Linked DNA regions of Canis lupus familiaris. The protein of the gene in region 1 purifies or fractionates together with the protein of each later gene. This does not show direct contact. Links are inferred from orthologs where the notes say so. Each region holds a gene or a part of one and is shown in the gene's direction. Other genes may lie near its edges.

Region 1 (7,271 bases):
GCTTAAATAAAGGGACACAGCAGCTCCTGATAAGCAGCAAAATAGTCTTCCAACTGCCTCTCAGCCATTTCCCTGGAATATCTTGACCCATAAGTGGCACCCCATTTCTAGATTGGAGGGGCTAGTTGGAAGGAAGTTTGAAGCTGTGTTTACTCAATATGATCAGTTAAATGTCAATTGTCCACACCAAAGGGGGTACGGACAGTTGAACTATTATGAACCCCCAAGTCCCATCTCCCCACTCCTTAGCACTGTCACCATCCAGACTTCATCTCAAATTTAGCACACTAAAAATGGGCTAGTTTCCCCTTAAAGTCAGCTCCTCCCTCCACCACCCCACCTCACCAACTTCCTCACCTGTATAAAGCAGTATTTTCTTTAGCAGGTTAAAACATTTGAACTCTTTTGGTTAAATTCTCCTCCTTCGTTTTCACCCTCCCAATTCACCATCGACTCCTATCAATTCCTCCTTTTATACTGTCTGGAAAACTTTTCTCCCTTCTTTTCTGTTGCTGGAGAACAGAAATAGAAGATGAGGGATCCAGCTCTGTAGTTTGGATGGAGAAATGAGAAACATACCACATACAAATGGGGAAAAAGAAAACAGAAATAGAAATATTTTTTAAAATGCAAAATAACATGGCTCCAAACTAGCCTTATATATAGATCCTGAGGCACAGGCTAGCACTGCTTTTGTTTTGTAGCAATCCAGAACAGTGGGGGTTCTTCCTTCTGCTGGGGGGCGGGGGATGTGGAAGGCCTTTAGGGGTCCAGCTTAGGTGACTCTGATTGCAGCCACCCCTCCACTTGAGGAACAGGAAATCTTCACTTCCCAGGTGAACTCATCACTCAGCGCACAGCGCATACGGATGCACTCTAAACTAGAGCTGGCACAATTTATTGAGTATTTCAGTGTAACTCCAACATTTTATATGTTGATAGTTTACCTCCACCTGGACAGAAGCGCCTGCTTTTGTATTCTTAACTGGCCCTCCCTTCCCCATAGCAACCAACACAGGGTTCAGCTCTCTGTAGTCTATAAATAAAACGTTTGTTCAATCACAGAGCCTTCGAATTTTAGAGTCAGAAAGGATCTTAAAGAGTTCCTCTTGCCCAATCCTTTACTATATGAAGAAACAGGTCTAAGCGAGATTGGGTGACGCTCCTCCAAGTCCCACAGCTGGCACCGGAGCCCGGGTTGCTCCCGCTTGACGTCGGTGCCCTACACTGTCCTTAGATAATATCTGGCTTTACACAAGGTCTCCTAGGGATGCTGGTGATAGGGGTGGTCTGCTCGGTTGAAACATTTTCAGAGACACGGCTCCTGCCGTTTGCAGGACCGCTCGGAAGGTCGAGGTGCTCAGCGCGGCCGCGTCACCCCGGGTCTCGGGGCAGGAAGGGCGCGTGGACCCCCGGGGACACCCCCCCCCGGCTCCCCCCCCCCCCCATCCCGGGCTGCCGTCGGTCACACAGCGCCGCAGAGTCTCTGGTCTCTTCCACGGACGGCGGCGGGTGGAGGCCGCGCGAGGGCGGCTCTCGGGCCCGGGGGGGGGGGGGGGGGTGTCTCGGCGGAGGGGGCATTCGGGAGCCAGCCCTTAGGGACGGGGACCAAAGTCTACCTGGAAGGGGGGGCCCTTCGTAGACAAAGCAGCGGTCTCTCCTCCCAGGTGGGGCAGCAGACCCCCCCCCCATCACCTTTGCCTGTAACGGTTTTGTAAGTTTTTTTGTTTTTTTTTTTTTAATTTTAAAAAATCGGCTGAGGTCTCGGGAGGGGCTTACTGCTGAACTTTATCACCCACCCCGAGCGGGGAGTCCTGTTGTCCTAGGGCTGTGCAATTACCCACAGGGAGCAATTTTAAGAATGTGCAGCCTCTGTGCCTGCTCCTGCCAGAGGGAGTCGGGTCTTGTGGTCTTCCATCAGTGGGATCTTGTGACTCTTTTTATGACCTGCTGACTTTTAGGTTAAGGGTCAGCCGAAATACCAAGATGGCTTGACTTCGGTCAACTCGCCTCCCGAGCCGTCCCTTCACCCACCACGTGGACTCGGCGCGGAGGATCAAAGTCTGCCGGCCGCCCGGCCCCCGTGGGCGCGCGGGGCGCCGCGAGGACCCGCAGGGCGCCGGCAGCCGCCCCGCCGCGCCCCGGGGGACCGCGCCCGCCCCGCCCCGCCCCGCCCCGCCCCCTCCTGCTGCACGCGGCCCGCGCCCCCGACCCTCCCCCACGACGCCCGCCGCTGCACCCGGCCGCGGCCCCCGGCCCACGCCCGGCTCCCGGAGAGGAAGGCCCCGCCCCCATCTGTTGGCGCCTCGGCCCCGCCCCCTCCCGCCCCCCCGAGCCCCCACCCAATGGCGAGCGCGGGAGGGCGGGGAGCGGAGGCTGTCGTGAGGGGGTCCCGGCCAATGGGGAGGCGTGCCGGGCCTGGTGGGCGGGGCGCCGGGGCCTTGTCACGCTCGGGTCCGTGTGAAAACGGGGGTTCCGAGTGCAAAGCAAAGTTTTTTTGTAAACCGTCTGCAAAGGCGGGGGGGCGAAGAAGGCGCCGGAGACCGGGCCGAGTGCAGCTGCCGGGGCCGCCGCCTTTTTAGCTCTTCAGGCGTCAGCTCCGCGGTCCGAGTCCCAGCGGAGGAGACCAGCGGCGGGAAGACCTGCGCCGAGAGCCCTGCAGATGCTCGCAGCCTTGGCAGCGCGGAGCTGCCCGTCGCCCGCCCCCGCCGCCCGCCCGCCGCCGCTGCCGCTCCGGCTCTTCGCCCCCCGGCCCCCGGAGCAGCCCCGGCTCCCCGCCGCCGCCTCGGCCCCCGCCGCCGCCGCCGCCGCCGCCGCCGCCGCCGCCCCGCTGTGGTGTGGGGGCTGCTGGGGCTGAGCCGGGCCTCGGCGCCGGCCCCGAGCACGGCCGCCTGAGCAGCTGCGCGCCGCCCGCCCGCCCGCCCGCCGGGGACGCCCTCGGGCGCGGGGGCGCGGCGGCCTGACCCCGGGGCTCAACCCCGCCCGGCCGCGCAGCCCGCCCCGCGGCGCCCCGCACCCCCCGCCCCCCGGCGCCCCCCGCGCCGCGCCCCCGCCCGAGCCCGCGCCCGCGCCCGCGCCGCCAGGGCAGCCGCCGGCCCGCAGCCATGGGGTGCTGGGGTCGCAACCGGGGCCGGCTGGTGTGCATGCTGCTGCTGACCTTCATGTTCATGGTGCTCGAGGTGGTGGTGAGCCAGGTGACCTCGTCCCTGGCGATGCTCTCCGACTCCTTCCACATGCTGTCGGACGTGCTGGCGCTGGTGGTGGCGCTGGTGGCCGAGCGCTTCGCCCGGCGGACCCACGCCACCCAGAAGAACACGTTCGGCTGGATCCGGGCCGAGGTGATGGGGGCCCTGGTGAACGCCATCTTCCTGACCGGCCTCTGCTTCGCCATCCTGCTGGAGGCCATCGAGCGCTTCATCGAGCCGCACGAGATGCAGCAGCCGCTGGTGGTCCTCGGGGTCGGCGTGGCCGGGCTGCTGGTCAACGTGATGGGGCTGTGCCTCTTCCACCATCACAGCGGCTTCGGCAACGACTCGGGCCACGGCCACTCGCACGGGGGGCACGGCCACGGCCTCCCCAAGGGGGCCCGCGGCAAGGGCGGCCGCGCCGGGGCCGGCGACGACAGCGAGACCCCGGGCGAGCAGAGGCCCGACGCGGAGGAGACCAACACGCTGGTGTCCAACAGCAGCAACTCCAACGGGCTGAAACTGGAGCGGCCAGGTGAGCGGCCGGGGAGGGTGACCGCAGGTGGCCGGGCCGGGGGACGGCGGGACCCTCGGCCGGCCCGGGGCGGGAGGGCCGCACGCCCCCTGCTGCCCGCGCCGCCGCCGTCCGGGGCCGCCGTCCGGGGCCCGCGGGGCTCTCGGGGACCCAGGGCGGCGGGGGGCAGAGGGGGCGGGGGGGGGGGGACCGTCCACAGCCGCCCTCGGGAGCCGTCTTCCCGAGAGACTCTCCTGATCGGGGTTTCCACGGAATCCAAAGTGCTTCCTAATTCAGTTTCCTGCCCCCGACCCCCCACCCCCACCCCCACCCCTTGGGAAACGGAGAGAATCCCCACCTCATCCTGAGTTGTTGGCCGTCACAAACCTTGCCCTGCCCGAGTAGTTCCTGTGCCCTTCAAACAAGTTTCTTCTTTTCAGAGCCCCCCTAGCCATGGACTTCCCTCACCCCAAAAGCCCGGTGAAAGGTGTCTTTTCCGAACGGGCATCGTGTGTGTGTGTGTGTGTGTGTGTGTGTGTGTGTGTGTATTTCACTTACTTGTCTCCAGTCTGAGCCTAATCCTGCAGATCCTAGTTCAGGACCCTGTTTGGTCATGTTTTAACCTTTCACTCCGGACTTTGGAAAATCATACTATAAAATAAGCCTGACGGTGACTTCCCTTATTCCCTTTTTACTGGATGCTTCCCCCCCCCCCCCTCTAAATATGATTACTCTTGAAAGCAATTTGGAAAATGCTGAAAGAAAAGAGATGGGGAAAAGGAATCGACCAAAGCCCAGCTCCCCAAGCTCTGATGATGTTAATAATTTGGTGTATTTCCATCCAGCCTTTTTCCGCTTATATTTATTTGTTTAGTCGGATGATACTACTTGTTCTTTCTTCGAGGTGCAGGATATCACGTTAATGAAATTGAACTTGTACATTGAAAGGTTTACTAAACAGTTGAATTTCCCCTTACTCCCCCTCTGCGAGGTCTTATTCCAAAGAAAACGAGGCTGCTCTGGTGTGTAGACAGTAATTCCTTTAAAAGATGGGTACGTTTGGTTTAAGAACTGGTAGGGTAGATAGTGATCGTTGCAGCTTTTCCTGAAGTTTATGATTGTTGATGGGCTCATATTGCTGATTTGTCGTTTCTAAACACTCCACCAAGAGACTCTTTTCTTGGTTTCTGTTCATGATAAAAGTTAAGATTTAGCTACAACACCTTAATGACAAAGAGGGACCAGAGCTGTGTGTCAAATCAGGCATTTGTAGTAGACTTCTTCCTAGTTGCATTTAATTTGTGGGTGATAGCATTCGATTTTACGTTTTCTCTTGCATATGCCGAAAAGTAGAGCAGAATGTACAGGGGACCCCACCCCCACAGAAAAGATGAACTTTTTTTGGAGGTGGGAGAAGTAGGGGGCTGGTTTGGAGAACGGGGAAGCACTATCTCCTTAAGGACTTGATTTTGCCCTGGCTTGTTCCCAACATGTCAGTTTATATAATAAACTGTCCTGGGCACGTTTTAAAAAAATTTTATTCCATGAAAAATGTTCACCTCTTTCACTAAAATGGACTTGAATGAAGAAGTTTGTATAAACACTGCTAATGTATTTGATACAGCGTTTTTCCTTTCTTTATAGATCCAGAAAAGTCTAGAAATGATGCAGTGGAAGTACAAGTGAATGGGAATCTTATCAGAGAATCTGACCATGTGGAATTGGAAGATGACGATAAGGCTGCACAACTTAACATGCGTGGAGTTTTTCTGCATGTCTTTGGAGATGCTTTGGGTTCAGTGATTGTAGTAGTAAATGCCTTGGTCTTTTACTTTTCTTGGAGGGGTTGTCCTGAAGGGGAGTTTTGTGTGAATCCATGTATCCCTGACCCCTGCAAAGCATTTGTAGAAATAATTAATAGTACTCATGCAACAGTTCATGAGGCTGGTCCTTGCTGGGTGCTATATTTAGATCCAACTCTTTGCATTGTAATGGTTTGTATACTTCTTTACACAACTTATCCATTACTTAAGGAATCTGCTCTAATTCTTCTGCAAACTGTTCCTAAACAAATTGATATCAAAAATTTGATAAAAGAACTTCGAGATGTTGAAGGAGTTGAGGAAGTTCATGAATTACATGTCTGGCAACTTGCTGGAAGCAGAATCATTGCCACTGCTCACATAAAATGTGAAGACCCGACATCCTACATGCAGGTGGCCAAAATCATTAAAGACGTTTTTCATAATCACGGAATTCACGCTACTACCATTCAGCCTGAATTTGCTAGCGTAGGCTCTAAATCAAGTGTAGTCCCGTGTGAACTTGCCTGCAGAACTCAGTGTGCTTTGAAGCAGTGTTGTGGGACACGGCCACAAGCCCCTTCTGGAAAGGATGCAGAAAAGGCCCCAACAGTTAGCATTTCTTGTCTAGAACTTAGCGACAATCTAGAGAAGAAGCCCCGGAGGACTAAAGTTGAAAGCATCCCTGCTGTTGTGATAGAGATTAAAAAAATGCCAAACAAACAACCTGAATCATCTTTGTGAGTCTTGAGAAAGATGTGATATTTGACTTTTGCTTTAAACTGCAAGAGGAAAAAAAGACTCCATTGAAATTCTAAGTTTGCCAAGTAGTGTAATTGAAGTCCTTGTCTGGTCACACAGTTTAATTCTATTTTTGTAAGAACATAATGGGACTGCTTAACAGAGTTCTATATTACAACTTTGTGATTATTAGTGCAGAGTACAGCTATGCTGTAACAATTTTGGAAAGCCAGTTTTAACACTATGTTACATTTTTGTTTAAAGTAAGTATAAACCTTATATAACATAATGACATTTGATTTCCAGTTTTTTCCATGGTAAAAAAAAAAAAGTTAATTAGGGGGATAAATAAATTAAAATTGTTACTGGAATTTCTCTGCTTTTCTTTTCCCCCAGTGTTATACTTTGTTTTTTAGGATTATAATCACTAAACTTGAAAAATCATCAACAGGTTTGTTTCCTTTGACGTTTTAGGTAATATTTACTTGCCCTCTGAGATCATTACATAGCATAATGGCAACATGTTTTTAAGAATGACTCATGGATATTATTAGGAAAAAGTTTCCTTTTTTCTTCACATGGGTTATTTATAATTCTGAAGATCAGTTACCATCCTGGATTCTATATTGCTGAATATTATTCTAATAAACAGTTGAGATAATTAACAACTTGAACTACAGTTTACATATAATAGGGCATATGAAGAGTAAGAGCAGGGAAGAAGGTTTACCAAATTAAATATTTAGATTGTTAGAAGTTAATATTCAGACCACATTTTAAAATTATTGGGGAGAATTTTAACTCATGTTTTCTTTTACCAAAGTTAGTCTGAAATGTGGACATGTTCACCAGCATTACTTTCTCTGAAAGATTGGCATTAGGAACATTGAGCTGAAAGTTTACTTAAGAAATATATACAGTAAATACTTTTAAGGACATTAAAGCTAATCTAATAGGTTATATGTTAAATGCAAGCTTATTCGTGTAATCTTTCAAGTTGTAGGTGTTTAAAAACTTAGTCATTTCATG
Region 2 (7,424 bases), on another chromosome or scaffold:
TGTTTTCATTTTTAGGCATGTCAGACCCGAACTGGCCTGAAGAGAGTCCTGTACCACTCACGAGAGCTGATGGCACTAACTCTGTGTGTCCAAGATATGCAAATGATAGTGTATATGCTAACTGGATGGTTTCACCCTCAGCGGCACAATTAATGGACGCATTTGATAGTTAACATTTCTTTGTGAAAGGTAATGGACTCACAAGGGGAAGAAACATGCCGAGAATGGAAAGTCTGCCGGCCCCTCCTTTGTGCACCTCACACTGGCTGGTGATTTTCCCTCCTGGCACACGTAGCCACTGGACCAGAGTTGTGAGTCCAGCCTTTAGTTATTCCTTCCTCTTCGGCCCTCAGTAGTACCCTGTGTTGGTCCGTGCTCATCGGTGACCACCACACATTCTGTCCTCACACATGTGGGTCCTTCAATCACTACCTGAGCTGTTTTATTTTTCTGGTTGCCACCAAACAAGGCAACAAGATTTAAACACGAAGCACACACACCAAAAGGCAACAGGAAAAATAAAATCTGGCCCAAACAACATGTTCTTGTTCAGAACAAGAGCCCAGCAAGGCCTTGTAGGGGTGTCAAAACCCACTACAGCCAGGGCTGGAGGGGATGAGGAGACCTCGGGATGGGCCTCAACTCAGCATTCGAGTTCTTGAGAACATTTTTGGTTTTATTTTTTTAATCATGGCGCCTTTTCTTAGGAAGACGTTTGATTTTTATCATGATTTAAATGATTTTTAAATTTAGCACAATGGAGAGATTTGATGCCATATTTACTATGTAGGTGGGTGGTGTGAGGGGAATGGGCTCACAGACGCTTCTGTCCCCATCACTGAGTGATCACTGCGCCCTGACAAGAACGGTATGAAGAAAAGGGGCATTTGAGTGGAGTGGCCTCCAGTCCAAGGATTGCTGACAGCTGAGACTTGGCTGCTGTGAATCCCACTGCTGCCAGCCTTCATGCACCACATGTCCAGCGCCAGAAAGCAGTGGCTCGTCTCATACATTAGGAGTAGTGGGTGGGGTTAGTGCTCAGCTTAAAAAGGACAGTTCAGCTAGTTATGTTAGAAGTAACATTGACAATGACCAAGGACTGCTACCCTCTGATTACAGTTCTGATGTGGAAAAGACAATGTTTTGGCTCTCATAGAGCTTGTGTGAAAAGGTACGTGTATCCACTCTTTCTGTCTTTGTAAGTTAATGCTGCTATAGTGAGACATTCCTGTTTATTAGATTCTGACCATGACTCATAAGCTTCTTGACATTCTTCACTGCTTGTTTGTGGTCACAGACACTCAGTACTCCTCCCATCTGTGGGGGTGGCTTTCGGGAAGTCCCCAGCTGCTCTTCTGACTGTAACTTCTAGGGAGAGGGTCAGTTCCCAACACGCTGCCTGGCCTTCAGACTTAAAGCACTGTAAAGGACTGACAGTGTCTCATCCAAACGCTGTATCTCATAGGCGTTTCACAAAAGCAGTAAAATTAGGGCATTTTTGTAGCTTGGATGAGTATGTAGCAGAGCCTCATAGTATGTGTGTGTATGCGTGTGCACACAAACCCGCAGAGAGCTGGAAAAACACGCTGTAACGTGGCTTTAGTTTAGGCCACTTTTCAGACACACTGTGATAAGTTCTTTTACAAATAATCTAGTTGTGGTAAACTTTTGGTTTTCAGATGTGGTTAATGACAGTCTTATTAAATGCAGAAAAAAGGATAAACTCTTCAAATTGTTAAAAGATACCTACTCAACAGGTGCGAGTTGCCACAGTGGGTTTGTTCCTGGCAGGGTGAAAGCTCCAGGTCTTAACCCTTGACCAGTTATCTAATGTCTATTCCTGAGTTTTAAAAGCACTCATACTTACTGGTCCTAGCAGACTATTTTCATATGCATATACACTGAAGTTACCAAGTATTAAGTATTACTGAGCATTAAGTAGCAATCTGTCAGTTATTAAAATTTGTAAAATCTATTTATGAAAGGTTACTAAACCATACCATTGTTAATTTGCTTTTGTAACAAGGTGACTAAGGAAATAATTTCAATTATGTGAATAAAATCATCTATCGTAAAATGTGTAAACTTCTTTTCTCTTTTTAACTTCCCAGTTGGAAACATCAGGTTTCTGATTTTGAAGTTTCAATGTGTAAGGATTGAAATACCACAAGGAGATCTGTCATGGTAACCCCTGGGGAAGTGACAGTGCTCAAAGAACTAGGAGGTGCTTGGTCATTGACTTATCTTGAACAATATGTAGGTGACTAGGCACATTATGGGAACTGTTAAAGTGCAGCTAGTTCCACCATTCTTTCCTTTGTGTTTCTTTCCCTGAAAGAGAGCAACAGCCACATCGAGTTCAGGTGTTTGCGGTTCTCTAGCAAATGGGGCTGATTTCTTAAAGCTGCCATTAGACAGATGTGCAAGAAGGGATGCAAAATGCATAGCCATAACTGAAAGTCTGGTACAGTCAGTGATAAACTTTTGCCCTGAACTACCATAAGCTTAAAAGACCAAGTCTTTCTGCTGGGTTATGCATGCATTCTCTGAACTCCTCCTCAAATGCCTGGCAGGGAGCAGATAGGTCAGTTGGCAAACACAAGTTGTTACCAATATAAATCTGATTTCTGAGTGTGTCGTGAAATGCCAAAAGCCTATGTCATTACACACGTGCACACACACACACACACACACACACACACACATACCTGGACAGACTGCCCCTGGCCCTCGGAGCTCTGGCTTCTGGCCTCAGCACCCATGTCCACTCTTGACGTCCCCCTTCAATCTGAATCACAGGGGCTGGAAGTAAACGTAATTTCTAGGGTGAGCGATATGTTACAGTCTTTTCCTCTGACCGTTTAGAAACCCATGCTGAGAAAAGCTAATACTAAAATACTAAAAGCCCCCTTTTTCAAGAGCATTGAACTTCCATTAGTAGTGTTTGTATGTTTGGTTTATTTGTCTTAAAAAGCACATTTCTCCACCAATTTCCACAAATGATGCTTTTCTACCATAAGGGCAGCTTATTTTAAGAGTGGAAATTTAGTTGAATATAATGCCTGAGAATGGGGCTTGGACAAATACTTTATATGTAATAGAAAATTCAAAGGGAAAGCATAATCTTCCCCAGTATAAATAAAGCATCATTTCCCCCAGTGAATGGTTTCCTCTCCTCCCTTGGGCATATTCATGTATAAGATATTTAGCAGGTGGCATTTAGGGTGGTTCTAGATGATGCCTGAGAAATCCCTAACTCTGTGGCTCTGGAAAGACATGGTGGTCTGAAGGGCATGCGTAGTGGTGGAGGAGCTTCCTCATCCCTTCAGCATGAAGATATTCACAGACCTTATCCTCTGCTCTTGTCCTTGTGCAGAAAACAGTCTGCCTGTTCTGTTCTCTCATCTCTTCTCCACAGGCAGCAACCTTGATGGCCTTGTTAGAACTCTAGGGATTCACAGGAACTGTTCTTAGCTGACATCACAAAAAATCAGAACCTCTATGTAGAGAATTTTTCAATTTGGAGCACCTATCCATTCTGCAGCCAAGGCTGGATGGGGCGGGGGGGGGGGGGGGCAGTGTAACAGCAGCAAGAGTGAGCATCACACCCAGAGTCAAAGAGGTATGCACTATCAATGCCCAAAAGAAATCATGGTTAATCTTTGCAACTCAGGTTTTGATGGCTATGTCAAGTAATGAGATAATTTTGCAGATGTTTTGTGGGATGTGCTAAATCACAGGACCTGGCCAACCGACATCTCTCAATGTGAGCCTGGCCCAGAGTTGTGACAGGGAAGCCATCTACAGGAACTTGGTGACTGCAGAAACATCAGTGTCACAAGGAACTGGGCCAGGCAGCATGGAAGGAGTCACAACCCAAGACCACTCCAACCCAACCACCATGACTTCAGGAGTTCTGTTCCACACCGGGAGGCACCATAACCCTGCATCCATTCAGAGGACACAGCAATTCAAGTTCAAAGTTAGCATGAGAAGCAAGGTAAGTACATTCCAAAACTAAAAAACAAAACAAAACACAAAAGTAACTTTTTGAGAAGGAAATCATTTTGATATTTCATAAACATAATATTTACCATGAAAATGATCAATTTCATGAATAAAAATGTGAAGTTCATTTTAAGTGTCCCCGTTTCTTTTAATCTTGGTCAGTTTTGTAAACAGTACCAGAATAAACCATATGTTTTTTGGCTGCTCTTGTCTCTCACCTCCATGCCAGTCCTTTTCTGCACATGTCATTTCCCCTGTGGAGTAAAGTCATTCCTATGGTTTGGGAAGGGTCTAGACTGGAAGAAGGAAGAACGCAAGGCTGCCTCTTACTCCCTGAGGCAAGGGACTTTGCCCAGAGGACTGTAGGGAGCCCACATGGTGCCTGTGTCACAGCCCCTGTCCTCAGATGCTTCTTTCACCAAGGGCCTATGACATGCTTCACATGTTGTGCCTCCTGGGAGCTTTATTTTTTATTTATTTATTTATTTATTTATTTATTTATTTATTTATTTATTTATTTATTTTAAAGATTTATTTATTTATTTTAGACACACACAGAGAGAGAGAGGCAGAGGGAGAAGCAGGCTTCATGCCAGGAGCCTGACGTGGGACTCAATCCCGGGACTCCAGGATCACGCCCTGGGCCAAAGGCAGGCGCCAAACCGCTGAGCCACCCAGGGATCCCCATCCTGGGAGCTTTAAAGAGGAAATTTCCCTGGAGGGTCTGTGGCCACAGGGCCTGGCAGGTCAGGTGCATGCCAAGGGTTTGGGGGACTTCCTAATGTGTGGAAAGAAAAGATTATCAGATTTTTAAGAAAAGGAGTGATACAGAGGATGGAAGGATTCTGGTCTTTCATGAGATAGTCATTGAAGTAAAAGAAGTATTGTGTGGGGGACTTGGGTGACTCAGTGGTTGAGCATCCACCTTTGGCTCAGGTCATGATTCCGGGGTTCTGGGATAAAGTCCCACATCAGGCTCCCCTTGGGGAGCCTGCTTCTCCCTCTGCCTCTCTCTCTCTCTGTGTCTCTCATGAATAAATAAAATATTTTTTTAAAAAAAGCATTGTGGTAGAAAATTGTATTTTTTTCAGAGGACCCCAATTATCTATAATCTTAAGTTTCATGGAAATAAGTAAAGACCATCCAAATGAGAACAAGCAGAGGTTATTTATTCTGAACTTGCTATAGTAAGAGAGTCAACCACCATCAGTTGGTTTTGACAGAAACTCGAACGCAGGCAGAGGAGGGAAAAGCTTTACAGTAAAAAAGGGGGTGAGGGAGAGAGGCTTCAGGCACGTTGTGCTTGGAAGTTGTTGGCAGGGGGAAGCGGAAGGTAGGCTACCTAGAAGTCGGGCATCTTATGAGATTTGCTTTGGGAACATATTTGGCTCTCTCTGATTGGTTCTGATTTGGAAATAGCAAAAGTGGGGAACGTGGCAGTCATAGACCAAGCCCCGACCATTCTGGGCCAGTTCCTACAGAGGTATGGGTCAGGGCTTCTCAGTTTACATGTGGTCTGGTCATTGTATGTCTGCATATTGTCTCTCAGTCTTCCTTTCTGATCATTTTCTTGCTTGTGAGAAGTTGGTGAATTTAGGGAAGTCTAGAAATCCAGATCTTAAAAAAAAAAAAAAAAAAAGAAATCCAGATCTTCACCACTTTGAGATTGATTGTTCAGTCCTCTACAAGGCCAACTGTATCATGAAGTCTTTTCAGCCTTTCTGTTGTATCACCATGAGGATCATCTGATGAGGAAAGTAGCTGTGCAGAAGCATTTCAGACCCTGGATAGAATGCAGTGGACCAGTATTACTACCCCTATGACATAAATAAGAATGAGAACAATTAATAACCCCTGTCAGATGCTTTGAACCCAGAATCCTAACCCAGGCCCAAGAATAAATTCCATACAGGTCCTGAGGGTCAGTTTTACAGAGCAAGTAGCTTTTACCCGTAAGGCACTGTAGAGCCTGCCCCACCTTCCCTGTGTCACTGATCCAAGGACAGTATTAGGATTGGCACACACCATGACTTACCCACATGAAATTTAGAACAATGCAGCTGTCCCTTTACAGCTTCTCCAGTGTCAATTTAAGGTAGTAATCAATTTGTGCTCCATGAATAGTTTCAGGGAGAAAATTTAGTTGTTTGGCATCATGATCTGCAGAGCGTTGCCTTTAGCTTCAATATTGTTGTCTCTTTTTGCATGGTTCTCGACCTTCATAGTAGTCACCTTTGTAGTAAATAGAATGCATCTAAAAGTTGCTTAACTTGTCCATTTTTGTGGGGGTTCTAGCATCCCAAAGTTGTGTGGCACCCCAAAAACATATTTCCTGTCTATATTATATGTTTACCCTCTAGTCTTTGGCTAGTTAACAAGCTGTAGTAAATGCAACACCTTCTGCCATTTTGACTGATTTTACCTCAGGAGAGGACTAAATTCTAAAGGAGACCTTCAATTAATGATAGTACATGCTGCTTGATATCTTCCAGCTTCGAGAATGATCCATCAGCAAACAGGATTAGTTCAGGGTTCTCAATATGAGACTATAATACATGTGAGTAAGGTACAGAGAGTTCCCAAATTATCTGAGGTAAAATGATCACTAGGCTCCCCTTCTTCTGCTAAGAGAAGCAGAATGTCTGGATTCAGGGTATTGTAGCAGTAAGTAGTACCTGAGAGGGAGAGAGTAATAGAATTTCATAAGATGTTAAGCAGCTGGCTGAGAAGTGCTGTTTCCAGTCAATAGTAATGTCTCTACTTCAGGAAGGATCATGAGGTCAAGCGAGGAGCCTGGAACTAGCTCGGCAGAAGCATCCACAAATTTTGCAGCAGAACACCTGCCCTAACACTAGGGGCATATAGCATGTCAAGGGAAGGCTAGGTAGTAAGTGATGGGTTTTGGATGGTTCCCGTGAAACTCCAAGGTCTTGTCCAGATTGCTCATGCACAAATAGACAGAAGGGCCTTCTGTTGTTTCAGATGTCTAGGGAAAGAGGTCACTGAGGAGCCACCTTCAGGTTCCAGAAAGCCTGTTCATTTTGGGGCTCCCAGAGGAGAGAATCTCTTACTAAGAACTTAGTTCATAAAGAGGTATAAAAATCACAGAAAAATTTAGCAACAATGGGGCTGAAAAATCTAGTGGAACCTTTAAATCCTGGGATCCCTGGATACCTCAGCAGTTGAGCATCTGCCTTTGGCTCAGGGCATGATCCCAGGGTCCAGAATTGAGTCCCACATTGGGTTCCCTGCGAGGAGCCTGCTTCATCTTCTGCCTATGTTTCTGCTTCTCTCTCTCTCTCTCTCTCTTTCTCTCTCTCTCTCTCTCCCTCTGTGTGTCTTTCATGAATAAATAAAATCCTTAAAAATAAATAAATAAACCTTTAAATCCTCTCAGATGTGATTTTGTGAAGGAG

What was found. Proteins that work in one complex are often made in the same cells at the same time.
Region 2: the proteins of SLC30A1 (region 1) and CSGALNACT2 purify together in Homo sapiens (co-immunoprecipitation; 3 studies listed by BioGRID and IntAct, counting the BioPlex papers as one, with this or other methods). This does not show direct contact. The link is inferred for Canis lupus familiaris from reciprocal best matches to the Homo sapiens genes SLC30A1 and CSGALNACT2.

Annotation. Positions count from the first base shown.
Region 1 is NC_049228.1:9,810,499-9,817,769, reverse strand, and holds the start of SLC30A1 (zinc transporter 1), read left to right. Parts: upstream 1-3,066; 5' UTR 3,067-3,104; coding exon 3,105-3,720; intron 3,721-5,343; coding exon 5,344-6,245; 3' UTR 6,246-7,271. UniProt on the Homo sapiens protein: Zinc ion:proton antiporter that could function at the plasma membrane mediating zinc efflux from cells against its electrochemical gradient protecting them from intracellular zinc accumulation and toxicity.
Region 2 is NC_049249.1:4,093,845-4,101,268, reverse strand, and holds the start of CSGALNACT2 (chondroitin sulfate N-acetylgalactosaminyltransferase 2), read left to right. Parts: upstream 1-3,542; 5' UTR 3,543-3,622; exon of another isoform or gene 3,623-3,712; 5' UTR 3,713-4,000; intron 4,001-5,156; exon of another isoform or gene 5,157-5,825; intron 5,826-6,043; exon of another isoform or gene 6,044-6,240; intron 6,241-7,424. Other genes in the region: proto-oncogene tyrosine-protein kinase receptor Ret, read left to right, coding at 16-173. UniProt on the Homo sapiens protein: Transfers 1,4-N-acetylgalactosamine (GalNAc) from UDP-GalNAc to the non-reducing end of glucuronic acid (GlcUA). Required for addition of the first GalNAc to the core tetrasaccharide linker and for elongation of chondroitin chains.